2 linked regions of the Coturnix japonica genome follow. The protein of the gene in region 1 interacts with the protein of each later gene in a biochemical or structural test. Links are inferred from orthologs where the notes say so. Each region holds a gene or a part of one and is shown in the gene's direction. Other genes may lie near its edges.

Evidence for each region.
Region 2: the proteins of SNTA1 (region 1) and CYSLTR2 interact in a test that uses a peptide from one of them, tested with the Homo sapiens proteins (2 studies listed by IntAct, with this or other methods). The link is inferred for Coturnix japonica from reciprocal best matches to the Homo sapiens genes SNTA1 and CYSLTR2.

The regions. Positions count from the first base shown.
Region 1 is NC_029535.1:2,063,746-2,067,419, forward strand, and holds the start of SNTA1 (alpha-1-syntrophin), read left to right. Parts: upstream 1-738; 5' UTR 739-1,469; coding exon 1,470-1,731; intron 1,732-3,433; coding exon 3,434-3,619; intron 3,620-3,674. UniProt on the Homo sapiens protein: Adapter protein that binds to and probably organizes the subcellular localization of a variety of membrane proteins. May link various receptors to the actin cytoskeleton and the extracellular matrix via the dystrophin glycoprotein complex.
Region 2 is NC_029516.1:151,149,611-151,153,259, forward strand, and holds part of CYSLTR2 (cysteinyl leukotriene receptor 2), read left to right. Parts: intron 1-2,455; 5' UTR 2,456-2,482; coding exon 2,483-3,424; 3' UTR 3,425-3,649. UniProt on the Homo sapiens protein: Receptor for cysteinyl leukotrienes. The response is mediated via a G-protein that activates a phosphatidylinositol-calcium second messenger system.

The DNA.
Region 1 (3,674 bases):
CACGGGCACTGCAGCACCTCTGTGCCATGATGTGGGGCTGCACACATGGCCTTGCTGCCCAGCAGTGTGGCATGGCACAAGGTTTCCCCCTGTGTGGCACTGCTCTGCTTCCCACTGCTGCTTTGCATAGTGCTGCCAGGGCTGGGGAAGCAAACATATCACATATCCCTGGATGGTGCCATCCTGTGGCACTGGGAGCAGTGTCTCTGCTTTCTGACGTGGCTTACAATGAGAATACAGCCTTAATAATCACCTGTGCTGGAAATAGCATTGGAAAGAAAAAAGACTGCGAGTGGCAAGGGGCAAAGTGACCCCAACTGGCAGCAAAAGGACTGAACCCCCTCTGCTATGGGCACAGCAGCTCAGGGTCTGTGGGATGCACAGAGGACTGGGGGGGGGGAGGGGGGGGTGTGATGGGCGTGGGAGCATCACTGTTAGGCAAACCCAAAAAGTCACTCCAATCGAACTGCAGAATTTGGATTGAAAACTGGAATATCTGAGCTGTGCTTTGCAAGGGAAAAACCTTCAGGGTTTCCTCTGCCGCAATCTCAAGAAATTCCACAGCTGCCTCTGCGTGGGGGGAGCGCTGCTGCCTCCGTGTGGGGGTGGGGAGGGCTGCAGCCCCCTGCTCTGCAATACCCCCCCCACCTCCCCTTGTGCGTGAACGGGATTCAATTCCTTTAAGGCTGCGTTTGCAGAGCCTGGGGCTTGGGGACCTGCAGCCCCACCCCAGGGCTCTGGAGCTGCCCGAAGGGGCACAGGGGATGTACCCAGAGGTATTTTTTATCCCTCATTGCTGCCACTCGGTTGCAGGAGGAAATGCGGATCTGCCAAAGGAAACAAACACCGTTCCTGTTTTCAAGAAGCAGGACAGGGAAAGGAAAGAAAAAAAGCAAGACTGTTCTGAATGCCTCCAAAAATCCTCCCTGCTGCTGTCTGCACCCATCTTTGGGGCACCGACGTCGTCGGACGCCAGTGGGAGAGCTCTTGAGGCTGCCCCCCACCGCCCCCAAGAGCTGCCATTGCTTTTCATCATCGCAGTTTTCCTTAATAAGTCCAGAGTTCGCTTCGAGTCACTTCTGGCTCTGCCTGACAGCGCTGCTCGCTTCCACGACAGCAGTTACTCGTGTACCCCGCAGCACGCCCGAAGCTTTCGTGGCACCCGGTTCTCGGCACGGACACCGCTGCGCCCCGACGTGCCCCGCAGGGTCCCCCTGTGACACAACCGCACCGCGGTGCCCGGAGCCGGGAGGGTCCGAGTGAGGGTGTGCAGAGCTCCCCATGCCCCTCCCGGCGCTCCCCGTCCCATACTCGGGCACGGAGCCCCGCAGCGCGGCGCTGCCCCGACGGGGCGGGCGTGGGCCGGGCCGGGGGCGGTGCGCGGGGCTCGTTGCTCCGCCGGGCGGTGCGCGGGGCAGCGCGGAGCGGAGCTGCCGGAGCGGCGGGGCCGGGCCCGGCATGCGCGGAAGATGGCGGCGGGCAGGCGAGGGGCGCGCAGCGGGCTGCTGGAGCTGCGCGGTCCCGGCGGACAGTGGCTTCGCGTCCTGCTCACCCTGAGCGATGACACCCTGAGCGTCAGCCCCGCCGACGGCCCCGGGCCCGGGGAGCCTCCGCCGGCTCAGCTGAACGGAGGGGAGCAGAGCTCCGGCGTGCCCGAGGCGCTCGCCAACATCAGGCGCACGGTGCGCGTCGTCAAACAGGACGTGGGGGGGCTCGGCATCAGCATCAAAGGTGAGGGGGGGGGAGTACCAGGAGTGGGCGGCGGCGGCGGCAGGTAGGACCTACGCTGCCCTGCTGCGACCGGAGGGCTCCGCCCGCGTGTCCTTGCGTCCTGCGTGACCCCGGTGCGGTGTCCCCTCCTGGCCGCCCCAAACGCAGCGCTCTGCCCCGGTCGGGTGTCCCCCGGTGTCCCCCGCCGCCCCCACCCCCGTCCTGGGGACTTTGCGGGAACTTCGGGCCGGGAACTTCGCGAGGGGGGGTGCGGGGGGCTGCCGCTGTCTGACGTGGCCGCATTGGGCTCAGCCTTCACCGCGCTCCTTGCCGGGCGCTGCTGGGTGGGGCGGTGTGTCGGGTGCGGGTCCCCGTGAGGGGTCCGGGGTGAGCCCTCACCGCTTGTTGGGGCTGTGGGTGCTGCAGCTCGGCAGCGCTTTTGGGAGGTGCAATCCCCCCTTGTAACCAACCCCGGGCTGCGAAGCGCTGCCGGCTCTGCGGCTCTCCCAGGAAAGGAGAAACGTTACTTGCTTCAGCTAAACTTTATTTTTGCAGTGACGTAGGTGGAAACCAAGGAGCCGTGATCCAAACGGGGAGCTGCAGGCGGGCGGGCAGCACTTGGGCTGCCTTGTGCCTCTGCTGCTTTGCAGGGGGGTGACCATGTGCCATTAAACGCAGCCAAACCTTGCTGTCCCTGCAGGGGGTGGGGGCATGGAGGGACGGGTACCCCGCTGCCAGCCAGCTCCTGTCCATGGCCCGTGGGACAGAATCTAAAATGGACCTTCTGGTTAAAGCATTTCAGCTGCATCCTAACCCCAGACAGTACTTCACTTGGGGTTTCTGGTGCTTCATGCAGCCCTGCAGGGTTAGGGTTAGCATCGTTAGGGTTAGGGTTAGGATCCTTCTCCTGCAGGGTCGTGTACCGCATGGTGCTCCGGGCGGTGGTTCCCTCTCCACGCACACAGCCCAGAATGGGTGGTTGCGAGGCGTTGCTTCCAAGCTGGGCTCGGCAGCCAGCAGCAGCCCCCGCGGGGGCCTCTTGACAGCTGATAGCCGGAGGAGCCCTCAGCTCCCGGAGAGGCTCTGCAGAAATCCGAGCGGAGCAATGCTGGCGGCACAGCGGGTGCAGCCCTGGGAGGTGTCACGCTGCCGGTCCCTGCCCGTGGGAGGGGGGTAGGGGGGAGTGAGGGGGTGCCCGGCACACGCTGTCCCAGCGCTGAGCGTGGGCAGCGCCAGGCGGGGCTGCTGGCATCTCCTACAGGTTCAGAACTTAAAGTGCAAATTGATCTCCTTGAGCTGCCCGGAGGCCTTGAGAGTGTCCTGGTGGGCTGAAGAGTGGGGAGCAGCCCGAATGGAGACAGAGAGGAGTGGGGAGCAGGTAGTCCTGCGGCTGAGCTGCTGCTCTGGGGCTCTTTTGCCTCTCCAGCACTCAGCTGCTGCCCCACTGAGACCGTGGGGTCCTGAGAGCAGGGAAGGCTGCTCAGCACACACAGTTAATAATGCAAATAGTGACACAGTTTCCTGCCAGAAGTGATGGGGAGGCGGTCAGGGCGTGTGTTTGTTCAGCAAGGAAATCTGCAGCCACTCGGATGGTTTTTTGAAGCACTTAACATGTGTCTGCCATAAAGCTCTGAGGTATTTGGGCACTGTGTGGGCACTGAGCAGCCCTGTGCCCCTAATTGCTCAGTGTCCCCTCACTGCTTGGTGCCCCTTCTGCCCGCAGGTGGCCGGGAGAACAAGATGCCCATCCTCATCTCCAAGATCTTCAAGGGACTGGCAGCAGACCAGACCGAGGCACTGTATGTGGGAGATGCCATCCTGTCCGTGAATGGCACTGACTTATCCGAAGCCACTCACGACGAGGCGGTGCAGGCACTGAAGAAAACGGGCAAAGAGGTGGTGCTGGAAGGTATGGGGGCAGCGGGGTGCCCTGCTTATGTACACCCTGTGGGTACCTTAATGTC
Region 2 (3,649 bases), on another chromosome or scaffold:
ATAACCTTAGTACTAAATTTTTTCATTATGAGAAGATGGAATGACTGTCCACAAGGACTTTCAGTCATAATATTTGTATGCAATTGCTAGTTACACAGTCCTTCCTGCACAGTGCCACTCCTTCACCTGTATATCCTACACTATCACTACTATCAAGCCAGCAGCATGGCACAGAGGCTCCCACTGATATACTTTACACAGCAGTTATTTCAGGAAAGCCACCCTTTCCTTTGCTCTGCAGATGTGCTCTCTCTCTTGCCCTAATAGCAACGCACCATCAAAAGTCTCTTCTCTTTGAAGTACATCAATCTGTGATGACTCCCTGTAAAACAGGGGGGCCAACTTCCATTAGAAGAAGAGATGTTTCCTGATCCCACACAGAAAACTTTGATGTCAGACAGTAACTTTGTACTGGGTACTAAAACTAGGTTGGATTGAGCCTTGAGAAGAGCCTGACCTGGTGGGTGGCAACCCTGCCCATGGCAAGGGGCTTGCAATTAGGTGATTTATTAGGTCCCTTCCAAGCCAAGCCATTTGTGATTCTATGATTCTATGAGATCTCCTTGGACTGCAATTGTTTTGTTGGGAAGCTTACGTTGCCTATCCTCTACACTGGCGAAGAGACTTTCAAATAAGGAGGAGATTTTCTTTAGGGGGGAACGAGTGTTCAGTTTGCCAAGTTCCAGTCTTCAGCACTCCTACACTTTATAGACATTATTGTCCTTGTTTCTTGGAGGGATGGTTTCAAGCCCTGCAGGGATGGTCACATTATTGTTGTTAGTGAAAGCCCCTGTTCCCCAAGCCCAAACTGCCGCATTCCCATCCTGCTACAGGGGATAAGCTCTGCTTCTTAGGAGCCCAGCCTGGGCAGGCTCCATTTCCCATGCTCTGTTTGGCCACAAAAAATAACTTCTGGGGCACATCTGGTTGCTGTATTAAGGGATCTGTACTCCGACACAGAGCCCTGAAGAGGTCACTGGCTGCCCTCAACATAGAGCAGCTCTTGTACCACAGAAAAGTATCTGAGTGCACAAATTAATTTCCATTTACAGCAGTGTTGCCAGTGCTATAGTGTGTAAGTGGTAGTCCAAGGTGCCCAAGCTTTCCCCGTAGTGAAATTCCAAGAACACAAATAACTTTATTCAAAATTATGAAGCCTGTGAGGTCCAAAAAAAAAGACATAACCTGCAAGCATATACCACTAGGCCCTTATCTTTCTCACTGGGATGTATTAAAACTTTTTTCATGCACTTGGAAATTTCATATTGTTCTGCTTTTTAGGCTAAATTTTTTCAGTGCGTTTCTGGGATGTGCTGGCAGTTGCAGAGAGGGCATTTCTGTCCCATTGTTAAACAAGTAGCAGAACCAGAGACCTCCCTTTAGGAGTTGGACTTGATTACATTTACAGATCCCTTCAATTTCAGGGTATTCTATAATTCTATGATTTTAAAATACTACTACTTACAGATCATCAGAGAGAAAAAAATCAGGAGTTTAGCAAGTACATTAAAAAGAAAAAAAAAATGTGTATACTATTTAGAGTGTTTTATTGACCGGTTGTTTTGATTTGATTGAAATATAGCCTTGTGGGAGTGAAAATATCACTTTCTATGGAAATAGCCTGTTTTCCACAGGCCATTTTTATTAGGGCTGCTAATTCAGGCTGCCATATAGATGAATGTCTGATGAAAGAAATGAGCACACAAAAGGCTGGAAAAGTAGTGAATGAAGAAAAGACCCCACAAATAGAGACCTAGGAAACTAACTAGAGGAAAGAAGAAATACAGTATGAGGGGGAGGGAGTTAAAAAAGAACCTTGAATGAGAACAGTATTTATAGTGTTTCAGATCAAAACATCATTAATTTATACACATTGAAGTACATCAGTGTGTTCTTGCTATCACTCAGGCATATTGAGTGACGTGCTGTCAACAGCAGATATCGTTCTAGGAAGATTAGGCTGGTTCATATTGGCAAATACAGTTACTTTGACTTTCCATCCTAATTTGAAGCTCAGACTTACTGGTGGATGATGACTTCTTTTACTGATCAGTTTTTGAAGGTTCCATGGGTGGTATCCAGGAACTCATAACCTCCTGCTGCAAAATGGCCAATGTCAAGTTGGCTTATTTTGCTTTGAGAAGGCCGGGGAATTGCCATTAAAATGAATGCATAACATCCACTTCTAAAAGACAGTTCTCTCATAATTTGAGACAAAAACAAAAAACAAACAAAAAACAAATAACAAAAAAAAAAACAACAAACCAGCTGCTGTAATACTGAAACCATTTAGAGCTGGTGTGTTCATTTACAGAGACATCACAGTGATTAGTCATTCAGGAAGCTTTAATTTCCAACGTGTCTTCTCATTTCTGCCATGTGAAACAGTCCTAGCACTGATCTCCCTGAAGAGGCTGCAGCTCTGCACTCACTTTACTTCTTTATACTTTTGCAGAAAGGCAGAGAGCTCCCACTCCAGACAATGAATTTTTCTGAGATGACGCTAAATGACAGCTCCACTAACAGCTCATTCACCTGTAGCACGGATGCCTTCAAGCAAGTCATTTATCCCATTGCGTACCTCTTAATCTTCTTCCTGGGCAGTGTTGGAAATAGCCTCTCCATATATGTTTTCCTCCAGCCTTCCCAGAGGAAGACCTCAGTAAACATCTACATGCAGAACTTGGCAGTTTCGGATCTCATGTTTGTGAGCACTTTGCCCTTCCGGGCCACCTATTATCTGTTAGGATCACAGTGGGTGTTTGGTGATATCCTCTGCAGGATCATGACGTACACCATGTATGTGAACATGTACTGCAGCATTTATTTTCTCACCGTGCTCAGTGTGGTTCGTTTCATGGCCATCGTCTACCCATTCAAGAGCTGGAAAGTAAGTAACATGAAGTATGCCAAGATAATGTGTGCAGTGATATGGGTCTTCGTTCTGGCAGCCTCCAGTCCTCTGCTGAGCAAAGTAATTGCCGGGTACAAAAACCCAGCCAAGTGCTTGGACCTCCACCCCAGCAGCACGCACAGGCTCCTCATGATGAACAGCTTTGTCCTTGCTGTGGGCTTCATCTTGCCTTTTTGCACAATTATCATCTGCTACATCTTTGCCATCAGAGCGCTGCTCAAGTCCAAGACACCCCAGCGCAAGAAGGCAGTCTGTCACAAGAAAGCACTGTCAACCATCATCATCACTCTCATCCTCTTCTTTCTGTGTTTCCTTCCGTACCACGTACTGCGGACAGTCTACCTAGTGCTCGGTGGCTGCAGCCCAGCCAATCTGTTCGTGCACAAAGCACAGGTGGTCTCACTCTGCCTTGCTGCCACCAACAGCTGCCTGGACCCTGTGCTATATTACTTTGCAGCTGAAAATTTCAAAGCAAGAATCAGAAGTTTATACCGAAGGATGCTTGTGTAGAATTGCAGTATTACGTTCCTGCACTCCTGCCAAGACATCTAGACTGCATCCATACTACGTGATGAATGAATGTGCTGCTGACCATACTGCACTGTGCCAGGCATCTTGGGAAGAAAAGTGTTTGGGATAAAGTTCAGTGAGGATGGTCAATACCAAGACAGGAGCTCAGCAGTGCAGGTGATTGGAGGTCAGGTGCCTGGGTGTGATCTATGATCCACTTCTACT